Linked DNA regions of Tribolium castaneum. Each later gene encodes a partner of the first gene's protein in a complex. Links are inferred from orthologs where the notes say so. Each region holds a gene or a part of one and is shown on either strand. Other genes may lie near its edges.

What was found.
Region 2: Not10 (region 1) and Not11 share a complex: the UniProt entries of both Homo sapiens proteins name them as parts of the CCR4-NOT complex. The link is inferred for Tribolium castaneum from reciprocal best matches to the Homo sapiens genes CNOT10 and CNOT11.
Region 3: Not10 (region 1) and Rcd-1 share a complex: the UniProt entries of both Homo sapiens proteins name them as parts of the CCR4-NOT complex. The link is inferred for Tribolium castaneum from reciprocal best matches to the Homo sapiens genes CNOT10 and CNOT9.

Annotation. Positions count from the first base shown.
Region 1 is NC_087396.1:15,625,443-15,629,835, reverse strand, and holds the end of Not10 (CCR4-NOT transcription complex subunit 10), read right to left. Parts: intron 2,411-4,393; coding exon 2,289-2,410; intron 2,246-2,288; coding exon 1,922-2,245; intron 1,876-1,921; coding exon 1,715-1,875; intron 1,668-1,714; coding exon 1,482-1,667; intron 1,436-1,481; coding exon 1,384-1,435; coding exon of another isoform or gene 1,377-1,383; exon of another isoform or gene 1,357-1,376; intron 1,334-1,356; coding exon 1,288-1,333; 3' UTR 1,243-1,287; downstream 1-1,242. Other genes in the region: putative gustatory receptor 28b, read left to right, coding at 374-907, 955-1,107, 1,174-1,242. UniProt on the Homo sapiens protein: Component of the CCR4-NOT complex which is one of the major cellular mRNA deadenylases and is linked to various cellular processes including bulk mRNA degradation, miRNA-mediated repression, translational repression during translational initiation and general transcription regulation.
Region 2 is NC_087396.1:20,953,794-20,959,298, reverse strand, and holds Not11 (CCR4-NOT transcription complex subunit 11), read right to left. Parts: upstream 3,056-5,505; 5' UTR 2,952-3,055; coding exon 2,914-2,951; intron 2,868-2,913; coding exon 2,776-2,867; intron 2,733-2,775; coding exon 2,587-2,732; intron 2,539-2,586; coding exon 2,413-2,538; intron 2,354-2,412; coding exon 2,051-2,353; intron 1,939-2,050; coding exon 1,729-1,938; intron 1,683-1,728; coding exon 1,224-1,682; 3' UTR 1,220-1,223; downstream 1-1,219. Other genes in the region: superkiller complex protein 3, read right to left, coding at 1-46; HSPC300 (probable protein BRICK1-B), read left to right, coding at 327-447, 493-575, 625-651; ATP synthase subunit s, mitochondrial, read left to right, coding at 653-1,219; MAU2 chromatid cohesion factor homolog, read left to right, coding at 3,355-3,579, 3,629-3,808, 3,858-3,980, 4,029-4,157, 4,204-4,758, 4,808-5,013, 5,061-5,263, 5,314-5,504. UniProt on the Homo sapiens protein: Component of the CCR4-NOT complex which is one of the major cellular mRNA deadenylases and is linked to various cellular processes including bulk mRNA degradation, miRNA-mediated repression, translational repression during translational initiation and general transcription regulation.
Region 3 is NC_087398.1:10,414,982-10,420,309, reverse strand, and holds Rcd-1 (CCR4-NOT transcription complex subunit 9), read right to left. Parts: upstream 3,216-5,328; 5' UTR 3,005-3,215; coding exon 2,892-3,004; intron 2,843-2,891; coding exon 2,705-2,842; intron 2,654-2,704; coding exon 2,476-2,653; intron 2,426-2,475; coding exon 2,231-2,425; intron 2,179-2,230; coding exon 2,087-2,178; intron 2,029-2,086; coding exon 1,851-2,028; 3' UTR 1,498-1,850; downstream 1-1,497. UniProt on the Homo sapiens protein: Component of the CCR4-NOT complex which is one of the major cellular mRNA deadenylases and is linked to various cellular processes including bulk mRNA degradation, miRNA-mediated repression, translational repression during translational initiation and general transcription regulation.

The DNA.
Region 1 (4,393 bases):
AAAATTCGTCAACTCGATCCGAATTTTGCTATTCCAGAGCCGTATTTTCGGCCTGGTTACCTTCACACCCGACCGTTCGAAATTCCGGCCCTCAAGTCTGCGTTTCTGCCTCAACATTTTGTCCATTTTCACGTACGTCCCCATGATTCTGTACTGCGTGTACACAACTGCAACTTACGATTCTTTCATGATTTACAAAACCACAAATATCATAATCCTGGGCTTGAATGTGGTTTATGTGGTAACGGCATGGATTTGTGCAATCACGAAACGCGACATGTTTGTCGAATTTTTGCTGAAACTTGTCGATTTTGACTCAAAGTTGCAAACAATGAACATCAAGGTGAATTATCACAGAGTTCACCGGAAGATTATGGTCCAGTCTTTGGGCAGGGTTGGTGTTTTGGTGGTGATTATTGGCACTCTGGCAATTATCGCTAATTTGAACGGTGATACTATGATTGTGGAGGCAATGGCGTACATTCTTCTAGCCATGAATTCGGCCGTTTGCCACCAGACGATTGAATTGGTCAAAATGTTGAAAATCCGCTTTGTGATATTGAACAAGCAAATCAATAACTTGATCGAATATTTCCAAAAAAATAAAATAGGTCCCGTTGAGACCAAAGGCACAAACAAGCAGTTGAACACGCTGAATAAAATTTGTGCCCTTCACCACCACTTATCCAAATTGGTGAAACTGTTCAATGAGACATTCGGGATCGTTTTGCTTCTTATGTTTGGGGTCAGTTTTGTTGTTATCGTCATTACGATATTTTTTTTCACGGCTAATGTCCAAGCGGGCGAACTGTATTTCATGAGCTTGCTAAACCCTATTTTGTCTAATGTTACGTTCGTTATAGACGTTGTGTATGTTTGCGATGTGTGTTATTCAACAATTGAAGAGGTATTTTGAGTAATTCTTGAAAAAAACTACAAGTTGCACATTTCCAGGCAAATAAAGCGGGCGAACTTATTCATAAAATTGACACCGAAGATCACGATATTAGAGACGAAATTGAAATGTTCTCCCTGCAAATTGCCAACGAGCAAGTGGAGTTTAACGCAGCTGGGTTTTTCGCAATTAATTACACTTTGGTTTTCTCCGTGAGTTTTTCTCACCTGCCTTTCAACAATAAGAAAAAGCACAATTTATTCAGAATCATGTTTTAGATCCTTGGAGGTGTCACCACTTACATCATCATATTAATTCAATTAGCCACATCACTTGCCGGACAATAAAAAAGTTTTTTGTTGCAAAGTTGGTACAGTTTTCCAGCACATTACTTACGAGCAACGAAGGAGCGAGTGATGTATTTCCACGTGTTTTCGCCTGATAAATAAATAAAACTAAACTAATTTTCTAAATCACTTTATTACAACCTATTTTGGAATAAGTACTGCTTAACTAATTTCCTGGCTGGTTCCGGTCGTCCTTTAAAAAACAGTAAATGCTTTTACACCAAAATAAACCAACTCACCTAATTTAAGTTCAATGTACAAAAGTAGCATAATTATATGTCCTGGCACTTTACATTTGCTGCTCATTTGCCAGATTTGTTTCAAAAGCCCTATGGCGTCTTCCAGTTGGCCTCTAATTGTCTTAGCCACCGCGAAATTATATTGCATCGTTGCAATCGCAGTGGGCAGATTATGCGGAAACCATTCTAAAAATAACGTAAGCAAAAAACCGCAAGTTGTGGCAAATACAGACTTAGAGGCGGCGATGTCTTAATCCGTTTCTCTTCATTTTCGTCCCCTTTTGGCAATTCTAAATTAATATGTTTGACATTTTCGGGGTTTAAATGTTCCAAGGCTTCTGAAATTTTGTCTAACAAAACTAGCGCCTCAGCACAGTACAAGTGACCAAGAAGTCTAAAAATTAACTTCAATCGAAATGAATCATTTAAGTGAAAATTACTTGTGGGCACCCGATAATCTCGGTTGTTGCAGAAGGTTTTCCGCATGTTCTAGTGCTAAAATATAGTCGCCTAGACAGAGGGCTACGTAGGCACTTGCTGCCAAAATACTGTTACGGAGGCTCATTACACTTTCGGGTGATAGGGGTGAAGAGGGTGCGGGGCTTGGACTACAAGATGGGACAGGGGGGATTCCCCCGGGGATCAAAAAAAGGGGAATAGGGGACGATACTGTATCGGAAGGGAGTAAAGTGGAAGCGTTACGTAAACACAATGATGCAAATTCGAGAGAGGGGACAGGAACGGCGTATGACTGACTTTCCGTACTAAAAAAACAATTTATTGACGCCAAGTTGACTATGTTTTTACCTGTATTTTTTGTCTTTTGATACGTTTGTCGTAAGGATAACTTTCTGTTTGTCTTGGGAGCCAATGACGTTAACTATTATCTCTTTTTGTCTCTTTTGAATATCAAAGTCAACTTCGTTCGACTGTAGTAAAACACAATTAAATTATAATATTATATTACCGTGATCTGTAACTTTGAAGTTAAGTTGGCAACACCGAATTACTATTTTCAGATGCTAATCTGGAGATCTATTTAGTGGAATTAGATTTTTTGATATAAAATCATCAAGGAACATAATTCGATAATAACTAATAACATAACTTATAGGTCAAAAAATTACCGAATGGTCAAAATAATTAAAAAACAGTGTTATTTTTCAAGTAAAAACCCAGAAAAAGGTCAAAAGCTACAATTATTGCATTTTACAATTTTTTTCAGTCAGAAACTCAATCAAAAAATTTCCTCAAAAATTAATCAGAAAATTTATTTTGTTGTTGTTTGTTAATCAACTGTGTACGTAAAGTAATACTTTTGCCCCATTTTGCTAAAAACATGTCAAAAATTTACCAAATTAGCCCAAAAATTGTTACATTTAAAAAAAAGACAATAAATAGAAAAAAACTCAGATGCTTATTTGTTTTGTATAAAAAAAAACGGATTAGTCAGTTAGCTAGCTAGAAACGCAAGAATTAACATTATATTAACCAAAATAATGTCTTCTTCGTAAGTTTTTGAGAAACAGAACCGAAAAATCCAAAATGAGGTCAAAAACAAACATTAGTTTTGATTTATTCGTGTGTTCTATGATGTTGGTCAACTGGAAAAGGTACAATTTCGACCGATTCCGTTGTAATTTGCAAGACCTGATTAAATGCACATTTTTTATTGTTGTTTATTGACTGCTTTCATATTTATTAAACTAACCATTCGCAATAAAAAATGAATCAATCTCAAAATTTAACGTGATTGGCTTGTTCACTTTTTATAATGGCCGACCTTAAGTGGACCAATGATATTCAAAAAGTAAATTTTTGAATGAATCAAAAAATCTAAGGTGATTGGTTTTCGGTAATACCATGATGGCCGACCTCAAACGGCCCAATCAAAATGCTTACAAATTTTACAATTACGTGCCTAATTTTACGTTAATTCATAAAATAATGGGTCTGTCTTTGTCGCACATTCTCACTTTTTCTATTCATTCTACCCCTCTGTGCAATATTGAAGAATCTGCTAGATAAAAACAAGCAAAACTGAGACACTGATAGGAAATAAATAACGAATATCAAATGCATATTAGATGAAAAGTCTTTTATTTTAGTCAAGAAAGGGATCCTCGTTGAAAATCATTGCGCATGCGCGCGCTCTTTTCAATTTGACGTATGACATTTCGAAAATGATTCTAAAAAATCCAACAAATAAAACGAAACTCTGTAGAAAATGTCTTAGGTAATTTAAAATGCGAAAGGGGGACAAGCGGCATGTAAACATGTAAGTAGTTTTTAAATGTAAGAGCAGTTAAATTAATCAATTACATTTCGCTAAATTGGACTGAAAATTGGACGTTTTTTATAAAACCGTCCTGAAAATGACATCATTTTGTCAATATAGTTCTTTGTTTGCACATTTTTTTGTAGAAACGCAATTATTATTTCGCTAAAGTTTGTGAAAAATAAGCATAAAAGTCGCCGAATAGTGTCACTTTTGCGTTTAGGTTTTTCATGAAAAAACTCAATAATATCGCACAACTCTGTTATTAAAAATTACTCAACAAGTCAGAGAGTTGGGATGAAAATAATTTAATTGTTCTTATTTTATTTGGTCAATTATTATTTATGTAAAGATTAATTATTCATAATTATTTAGAGAATCTTTTGGTAGTTGCAACTTGAAAAAACAGAGTAAAAAACATGTTTCGCATTTTTTTTTAATCCAATATCTTATCCCGAAGGTACCTACTGATTTATTGTATAAAAAAAAGATGCAATTTTTCTTTTGTGTATTTAGTCTAGTTCGCATTCAATCAAAAATTCTTCAAAAATAAAACAAAGCTTAACGAAATATTGTTTTACGTTCTTCAAGTCTTTAGACCTTTTAAACCAACGTCTTAGACTTTTGTGAGATC
Region 2 (5,505 bases), about 5.3 Mb from region 1:
TGATGGCATCTCGTGCCTCCTTCAACACTAATTTTGAGTCTTTCATGATTCACTCAAAACAATAACTTGTTTGGAAAAGCCTAACCTACAAATGCACTTTTTGCCACTTATTAGCTAGACTCGAAAATAACCAAAAGCGTACAAAACGAATCATTTGCACTTAGTATTTAATTAAAAAAAATATTTGTTTAATTAAATTACGAAAATAGCGAGCTTGTTTGAAACTTTTTCGAGGTTAGAGCATAGAATAAGAGAGAGGGTTAGAGTGTCAAGCAAAAACTGAAACTCCCTAAAAAGTAACCAACAATTTCGGTATTTTTGCGGAAATGGCTGCTCCTAGAGGAGAGACAGTCCCCAAGCCCATCCAACAAGACTGGGTAAACCGCGAATACATCGAAGTGATAACCGTCAGCATAAAAAAGATCACCGATTTCCTCAATTCTTTCGGTAAGTTTCCCCTTACTGTTGACACCTCGCAAAAATTATTTTTAGACTTATCTTGTCGATCAAAACTCGCCGTTTTAAACGAAAAGTTGACAACTCTCGAGCGAAAGATCGACTATTTGGAAGCTTGTGTAAGTCTCATTTACATAACACTGCGCTTTATTTACAAATAAACTGAAGGTCACCAAAGGGGAAACCTTGACATAAGATGCTCCTCACTCGCCTCAGCCACCTCCAAAGGCCGCTCATCCCCCACACGCGCACCCTCTTCCACTGGCTGAACATCGTCTTCAACCGCGTGGACGACGAACGACGGAAACAAGTGGGGCCTGACAGGTCTTGTGCCGAGTGGCTGTTGCGGAACGGGGCCCACGTCAAGTGGGAGCACTGCAACGAGTTTCTCACAGACTATAACAAACTGCCGAGCGACAGGATTAGGTTACACATCGTGGAAGTGAACGCGTCTGAAGCCAGCATAATGCACTACGGGTTTGACCATTTCGTGGGGTGCGAACACATCCGGAAAATCATTTTCCACAAGTGCTACTATCTGGAGAATGAGGCGTTGAAAGGGCTGTCGGTTTTAAAAAACTCATTACTTTATTTACAAATCACCGAGTGTTTGAATATAACAGAGCCGGGGCTGAGTCACCTCAACGCGTTGAATAACTTAAAAGAGCTGATTCTGGCCGATCTGCCGTACGTCAAAGAGAGGGAAAAAATCGTCGATAAATTACAGCACGGCCTGCCACATTGTACGATACAGTTCCATTAAATAATCAACCCTCGAGCTTTGCTTTCATTATCGTTGGCGAGGAGACAAGTCCGATCTGTTCCCCCGACTCCAACTGTTTCAATAGCCTGAACAAAGCGGCAGCTTCGCGAATGCGACTAAACTCGATACAAAACGCCTGAACTTCGATAAACAACTCCTGGACGTTGATTATTTTGTTGCGAATGAGCGACTGGAGAAACACACAAACCAGTCGAACCAGCCGATTTTGCATATAACGGTCCTTGATAGTCTCACAAGTCGATATGCAATTCGAAATGTACAAGTGGACAAACTCTGTGGGCAAATCCACGGTCGTTGTGAGCCGATTTACCACTTCCATGGAATGCAGCGACATTTCCATGTTGACAAGAACGCTGAAATATTCCGTTATTTGTTTCGATTGCATAAGCTTGAGCAAAACTTCAATCGCGATAAGTGGATTATTTTCCACCAGTTCGGGCAACTGCAAGCACTCAAATCAGCGAAAATCACCAAATTTCGATTCATACTTTGGACGGAGTCAAACCAATGTGGTACACAAGTTTTGAGTCGTTTTCCAGCTCGCCTAGCAGTTGTTGCTGCTGTTGCAAAGACAGCGCTGATTTGTACGCCTTGTTCATCAATTGTCTCGCCTCCTGGCCTGCTGTGTCAGGCACACACATCGTCACGTCATATGCTACAGTGTGTTCTTTGATGTTTGTCGGATTTAGCCACACCATCTTAAAAAACACAATCAAGGGTAGTAATAAATTATCACAGCTTCCTTGATTAATGGAAATTTCCCTTCGTCTCCATAGCATTAAACAAAGAAGCTGTATTATGTAACCTTACTTCATCATCTGTGTTGAGCAAAGGCGGTGCTAGTGTCACAAATTCCGGTTTGTACACTTTATTAATGGGGGCGTTATCACCGGTTGCTATAGTTTTCACAAGGGCTGCATAATCGTTCCGTTCTGTCGTATAATTGTTAGTTTTTTCAGGCAGTGATAAAACTACAGGAATTCCTGTTTTGCAAGTGTGTGGCAATTCAGACTGTTTTTCGGCTAGTAGTAATTGTACAACGGAAAAATCGAAATTTGTTTGCGTATTCCCAACGTCTGAATTGATTATTTGCGTGGCTGTTTTTTTCAAAATCTTGAAGAAAAAAAATCGTTTAGTAATTTCCTATCAGGGGAGGCCCTGGATAATCTTACAGCATCTTTGGGCACATCTGATAACAGTTGCGTTAAGAATTGTTTTTCTGGTGGTGTCAGTTTGGGTAGTTGGCCTGGATATTCCTGTTTGGGGGACCCGACACTACTCTGGTGTTCCGGGGGGTGCTAGGATAATTTCTATGTTACAATTACTAAATTTCTGTGATTACAAACCAAAAGGTGGTTGAAAACGTTGGCAAAAGGGGTGTTTGCCAGAGCTTCGCCCCGATATAACTCATACAGAAGCGTTATAGCAACAAGTTTTTGCTCAGGCTCTTTCAACAGATCTTGCTGAAGCATCATTACCAGACAAGTTCCGACTGAAAAAAACAGTTATTTGGGTAATCAAATAGCGGTTTTTACCTTTAAAATAGTCACAAGAGTCGAATTTTTTGTGCAACTCGTTCGAAAGGCTTTCTAAAGTGTGGGTTCTCACCTTTGTCTCACCCAAAATACTACAAAAACTGAATTAAAAGGGCGCCAAAATTGAACTGGTCTTACTCGAGTAAGATATCACATTGTTCCACCGTGAGGGCCATCGTTTTGCAATAAAACACCTATTTTTACGAAATTTATTTTATATACTCTAACCTATAAACCCAATTCGGACATTGACATTTATCACCATAAGACCGAAAAATCTAGTCGGCCAAACACACCTAAACCCGTGTTTTTCGTCAAAAATAAAAAAATAAAAAGCAGGAAAAAAGTTTTTAATGCAATATTCAATAAACTAATCAACTGAAATAATCAATAAGTTGATTAATTAGAATAATCAATGAATGGGAGTTGGAGTTTTCGACCTTATGCGGACCCGACCGCCGCATTTTCGCCCATGTGTGGTGTTTGGCGTTTGGCTTGACAGTCGACCCAAAATATTTCAATTTTGCGCAAAAACCATGTTTGGGTGCGAATTTTGTGTAAAATAATCAATCCCTCGCGATGGCTTCGTCCCAAGACGCTTGGTACCTGTCCCTCCTGGGGCTAGCCGAGCATTTCCGCACCTCGAGCCCCCCTATGATCAAGCTCTGCATCCAGTGCCTCCAGGCTGTGTTTAATTTTAAACCACCGCCGCGGGTCGAAGCTCGCACTCATTTACAACTCGGAAACATACTTTTGACCCATACCAAGAACACGGACTTGGCGAAAAACCACTTGGAACAAGCGGTAAGTGCGCCCCTTGATTTAACACTCATTTGGACGTGATTGAATTCAGTGGTTGTTGTCACAAATGATCAACACCTTTGACGATGTTAAATTCGAAGCGGCGAGCGTTTTGGCCGAATTGTACGAACAACAGCAGCAAATTTCGCTGTCTAAGCCCATTTTGAGGAAAGCGATCGAGTTGTCGCAACATAATGTTTACTGGCATTGCAGGCTAATTTTCCAGCTTGCGGTAATTAATTATACAATTTGGCAGAACTATTTTAATTGTAAAATTATAGCAAATTCACGCAACTGAGAAAGACTACCAGTTGGCCAGTAGTCTGCTGGGTGTTGGGGTGGATTATGCCCACATCTCGAATGCTTGTTACACTCGAGTTTTGTTTCTTTTAAGTAAAGGAATGGTAAGACTTTAATTAAATCACAAAATTGGGCTAAAATTGTAATTTTAGTTATTATTGATTGACAAAAAGTTGCAAGAAGTCCAGCCAGTATTAAACCAAGCCGGTCACTTGATTGAAACTTGGACAGGCGCTGCGTACCAGAAGGAATACCTCCGAGTGTATTTTTTGGTGTTGCAAGTCCGTTACTCAATTTGATTGGTTTTGTGCTCAAAGCAATTTTCAGGTGTGCCATTGTCTAATGGCCGGTCAGGTAAAAAGCGTAAAACCTTGCCTGAAGCAGTTGCAACAAAGCATACAAACAATAATGGCAACGGATGATGTTTTTACAGGGCCAAGTGTTGGCGATATGTTCTTATGGATGCCCAAAGAGCATCTCTACGTTTTGGTTTATTTGGTAACTGTGATGCACAGTATGCAGGCCGGTTATATGGAAAAGGCCCAGAAATACACCGATAAGGCGTTAATGCAAATCGAGAAATTGAAAAGTTGGTTTTTGTACACTTATCTGACACGTCCAACAATTCTAACAGTTGTAGATAATAAGCCGATTTTGTCGGTTTTCCAGTTAATGTTACTCGAACATATAATTATGTGTCGTCTTGTGATGGGTAACAAGACTCAAGCCTTGCAAGAAATCTCCTCAGCTGTGGCTCTTTGTCGGCAAAATGCCAAGTTGTTAGAGACACACGGACCACAATTGCACACTTTATTGGGGCTTTATTCCATGAGTATGAACTGTATGGAGGCGGCCGAGGCGCAGTTCATGGCCGCCTTACACGTAATTATAAAAACTGTGCCCAATATTATTTTATTCCAAAAAATTGTAGACGTCACGCGAGCGCGAATTGTGGACTTTTGCAAACTTGAATCTGGCAATTGTGTATTTGAGGGGTAAAAGAGAGTCGGATTTTAACGCTCTTCACGAGAGAATTAATCCCGAGTCTTTGCCGTCTCATTCGCACAGTTTACGAGCGGCGGCTTATTACGTTCAAGGCCTACAAGCGTTTTTTCAAGGACGTTACAATGAGGCCAAGTACGAAACCCAACTCTTGGGATTACGTTAATTATGATTTTTTTAAGGAGGTATTTGCGAGAAACTTTAAAGATGGCAAATGCCGAAGACTTGAACCGATTAACTTCGTGTTCGTTGGTTCTTTTAGGGCACATTTTTCTCTCGTTGGGGAACAGTCGTGAAAGCATGAATATGGTGACGCCAGCGATGCAATTGGCGAGTAAAATCCCCGATGTTCATGTCCAGTTGTGGGCATCTGCGATTTTGAAAGGTTGGTAGGACTGGCTAGGTTTCGGTAATTTTGGTGTTTTATTTTTTTAGATTTGTATCGGATGTGTAGTGATCCACAAAGCGAAAACGAGGCCTATCAGAGACACGTGAATTTCTCGCAAATGTTACTCAACGATCATTTTCAAGCATCACAAATGCCCGAACATAACTTGATTATGTGGACGCAGGGGAGCTTCCCCAACATCACCAATTCCCCGAACACGTCGGGAGTTTTAATGTAAT
Region 3 (5,328 bases), on another chromosome or scaffold:
CTTAAAAGACCCATTTCTTGTAAATAAAGAAATAAAAATTAACTACGAAAGATGTTTGTAAAAATCAAGATTTTAAAACTTGCTTAATTAATTAGGTCTCAAAATCAAATGATTTATTAAAACGCATACAAAATTTCGTTAAAACAGGCCAATAAATCACCGAATTATGTCGAAACTTACCTACCTTATTTTCAGCTAAAAACTCATTTATTTTACGAAACATTCCGATTACTTAGATAATGTGTCAATTGGGTCTAGTAATAATTATAAAGTTAAGAAGTTTTTTGAAGTTTTTTGTCAATTAATCACATTTTTAATCTAACAGCTCACCTTCTTAGCAAACTTTTGCTCAAACAGACCAAGAAATTATCTACGAAAGTCGAAAATTATTTTTTATGTTTCAGTTAGTTTTAGTTTAATACTTATTGCAAGCAAAAACTGTTAATTTGCATAATTTGGCTACACCAAGCCAAAAAACCGATTTTATTTCGCTAGATTTATCTGAAGATTTATCGTGAAACTTATTTTGTGAAACTTTCTGAAAATATCCGCCAATTAGATCGAAATTGTTCTTCTTTGTACCTGTCTAAAGTAGGAACAGAAAAAAATCATTGTGCATTAAGAGAAGCTTTAAGAATGCTTAGGTATACAAATTGAGGAAAGTCTGGGATATAGGTATTCCCGATTATAATAAAAAGTATAAGGAATTGTACTTTTACAAAAATAAGATAAAAAGGATAGGGGCCAACACTTTGAGATTAGTAATAGACTTAGGGATAATACTTATAAAGAATCTTTGACTTGCATTAAAATGCTTTAATATCGATTCAAAATTCACTTCTTATTAAAAGAAATCTTTGTTACAACAAATTATCAACTGAAGTAAGTAGTAGCTTTGTAGAAAAAGTGTGAATTTAGAATGTTTTTAAACGGATGTTGGCCTTTATCCTTAGACTTGTTATATAAAAAGATGGCGCTTCAGTACAGCGACTGCCCTCCATCTTGTTTTATTTAGCATGTGATAATCTAGAGTTCGCCACTGTATTTAATCATTGGATGATTTCTTTTATTTACCTTATCTTATATTCTATTATAAATTTGTGATTTATACTGGTCGTGCATTTCCAGTAAATAAGGGAAAATAATAATAATAATAATACCATATGACCATTTGAATTTATAATTAGAGTACACTTTGATACTTTTTTCAATTATAAAGTTAAACTTAAAAAATGTAAATCATATAGACATAAGTTAAACCAAAAGATTAATTAAATTCGAGTTAGATGTTGAAGTTATTAATTATTACGTAAATATCCCTCAATACTATATAAAAAGTTGTTTAATTAAATAGGATTTAATATGTAAAGAATTTTTGGCGGAAGAAAAAGTGAAACTCTGGGAAGTAATTTTATTTTTCGAATGATATTACGTGCCTTTTGGTTTCCTATTATGGAGCGAGTTTAATTTATGGTATTTTTAATTAAACAATCAGCATAATTTAAATTATATATTTTATTTTTTTCACAAAAATTTAAATAATACACATCAGGCATCCTAAAAGATATAAACAAGATACAAAGTAAAATGATCTGTTGGCATATTTACAAGGACAATACAATGATTGCTTTCGTTATTAGTAGAGTATAAAATGTGACTTGTGAACCAGGACATTTGGCATCTTAAAAAACAAGGCAGAATCTGATAAATGGAAACTGCTAAATTTGCAAAATTCTGTCTCGTTCTTTAAGACACCGTAAATCCTAGTCCAAAAGTAACATTTCATACTCTACTGTTATTTGATATTTGAACTAAACTAAAGAAAGACGTTATTAAATCACAATTTTCAACTATTGGGACGTCAAGGGTGATATTCCCCCTTGACGTAATTCTGAAGTACCGGGTGTTTCTAAATTCGTCAACAATTGCGAAAGCCAATGTTTCGTTGATTTATCTTCTTGCAAACACACGGTAAATGTGTTGTCACGTAAGTGATCAGGGAGGCACTGCCTTAATGCTTCTCTAGCCCTAAAAAAGCAAAGAAAAATTAGCACAACCTGAAACAAACAAGAAAAATATCTAGTACCTTGGATTATCTGACAATCTTAAATAACACCTTACAACATGCTTCAAAAGCCTAGCACTTGGTTCCTTCGCCAGAACCAAAACCATTTTACCCTAAAAATTCAAATACAAACCTAAAATTCACTTTTCATTGGTAACAACTTACCAAAATCATAGCCACGTGGCTAAACCTATCATAGGTCTGGCAAATGTATGAAAGGCCACTGTCGTCCAACAAAATCTTCTGCAAGATAAAGGTAGCAACGGTTTTACTTAGTTCAGATCCAGACTCCATTATTCGCAAGCATAAGGGAATTATTTCAGTCGTCAGAAGAAAATTAATGACCTCCTGCTCATCAGTCTACAATAATAAAATAAACTTTTTGCCAACAAAAATAATCAGAAAAATACCTTGACAAGTGCACCAATTACTCCAAGACTTGTCAGTCTCAAGTACTCAAAAGGGCGAGTTTTGGAAACTGTGTGCAGGAAAGGATAGAGGAAAAGAGGCACATGTGCCAACAAAAACTGAGATCTGGTTTCCGGATGGGAGGCCACGCACTGGAGCAACGCCAAAGCGTTACAAACTCTACAAAAAATTACAAACAAGTAGTTTTGCCTCAAATTGTGCGCTTGGTACCTGTTGGACTGATGAGCAGTTAACGTGGCTGGATTTATTGCGGGATAAATATTGATGATTTCTTGCAAGAGAGCCGCCGTTGTCCCAAAGCTGTTCCACAGCATTGGGGCCAAATCAGGTACAACTTCGCGTTTTTTACTACAAATAGCCAAAATTGGACCGTTTGCCCACAACTACAAACGCTCACCTTAATTCTAAAAGGGCATTCTCCCTAGTTTCTGGATTAGTGAGTTCCAGAATCCACTGGAAAACCTTTTCGCGTTCGACGGTTTGGTTTGCTGGACTCGGTTGAGTGCTCATGATTTTGGCTTGATACAAGACCACAGTTTTCCAAAATTAGCGTTTTTTGTAATGCTAGGCTATGCCCACAAAAATTACTTCCAAACTAAAACGTTTGCTTTCAACAATTACTTAATGTTTTGTACGTTAGTTGTGTGAAGTGAATTTTTAACAAAATTGAGACGAAAACACTACAAACAACCCTTAACAACCCCAAATTTTACAAGATTACAGACTGACAACTGACAGATATTTTCAAGCGGACGTCAAATACTCCACTCCCGAAGTCTGGCTAAAGCGAACCCGTTTTTTTATATTATTTCAAATAAAAAGTGTTTATAATAATAATTTTTTGTTTTAAAAAAATCAATGAAATAAGTATGACATAAATTGAACTAAATAAAATTAGGTCAACAAAAAAAAAACACGTTTTAATTATAAAGTATGCAACCAACAATTTAAATAAGGTAATTGGATTTCTCCCAATTCATTTGATGCATAGGCCAAACGGTTCGTTTGGAACGCGTAGTTTTATCTGTAGGAGTTAAAACCGTTTATTTATTGACTGCTCTTATAATTTAAATTAACCATTCTTATTTTATTAAATTATGAATGAGTCCAAAAATTCAAAGTGATTGGTTTTCCACGTTATCATGATGGCCGACCTTAAATGGACCAATCATATCCAAAAACGTAATTCTTCAATGAATCCAAAAAAGTAAAGTAATTGGTTTTCTCCCTAATTTTAATGGCCGACCTCAAACTGCCCAATCGAAATGCTTACAACTTTTACAACAATCATTACGTTAATTACGTTAATTCATAAAAGGATGACTCTGTCTTTGCTTTTGTTGCATCTCACGTCTTCAGTTTTTCATTGAATTATAGCCCCCTGGGTAATGGTAGACGTTCTGCTAGTTGAAAAACACAAAAATTGGGACAATGAGTGAAAATAAATAAGAGGTTTAAATTGAAACTAAAATTTAAATTATTGCCAGTAGGTAGAAAAACACGGCACGTTACTTTGACTTTTTTTTGCTTGGACTCAACAAATCAACATTGATTGTAATTAATATTGCGTGGAAAGCGAGGGATAAACCTTTGAAAATAAATAAAAAAATATAAAATCTCGAAACAAATCAACTTTTCTTTATCAGGAGACACTTGTGTGGCAAACCACGTTTAAAAAAAGTGCCAAGTCACTTTCTTATACACGACTTTACCACTTTAACTTTTGAAGCCGCAAAATCTCAAAATGGTGATTGCATGATCTACAACGTTTACCTGACTCATTCTTCTGATATGCTTACCGCTTATGAGAAAAATGCAAAGAACCGATACTTTTCAACTACTAAGGGGGCCCCTAGTGAACACAGCTACTTTTTTAAGGAAAACATCTTTATTTTTAGAGGTAAACAGAAAATCAGAAAAAATCGTGAAAAAACCATCGTTTTTAAAGCATATTTTTAATTAACATTTTTTCAAAGATTTTGCCCTGTTTTTCTATTAGGCCACTTGAACACAAAAATGAATTCGTTTCGATCATATCCACAAATTCACAGTTTTGTTTTATGAAGGTTAACAGCTTTAAAAGAGAAACAGTATTTATTATTGTAACATACGCGGAAATCGGGTCAGTTTTTTATTATCTAATATTCTGTAACAAAAATTATGTTTCGAAAAGAGGTTTCATTTGCGATGTCGTTCATAAGTGGAACACTAGAACGTCATCAATACTGTCGACTCAACTTCTCAAAACGTAATAAAAACGCGGAATATTGGGGAGTTCAGTTTAGTCCTGGTTAGTCCTGCTTGGTGTTGATTAGTCTTGTTACATCGTGGTTATTTTGTGGTACCAAGTGTGTAAGTACGCATTCTCATTCAATGTAGTCATTTTTTGTAAATAAACCTTTTCTACAACACCACCCACATGACTTTTAATCTCACCCTGTAAAATATGGTGGAGGCGCCGGGAACTGACATTATTAAGTTAGGATTATCCTTGTTATAGCAAAAATGGAGGATTAGCATTAATATAGAACTACTTATGTCTAAAAAAGATAAAGACTGGCAGGGCCACCCCAGAGGCAAAGCCGAAGATGAAATTTATTTAAGGGAATTATGTGAGTTGAAAAATTCGGTGCATACCTAAACGGTCTACGCTCCAGAAAATGACAAAGTTTTTATTGGACTCATGAATTTAATCATTTTTTTTGGAGATAACTTTTACTCATTAATTTATTTATCAAATTAATATCCAAATGTTATTGTATCAAAGTTTTCAAGAATAACTGATTTGTCATAAACAAAACCAAATTCTTTTGTTTCTATTTTATTTAAAAGTG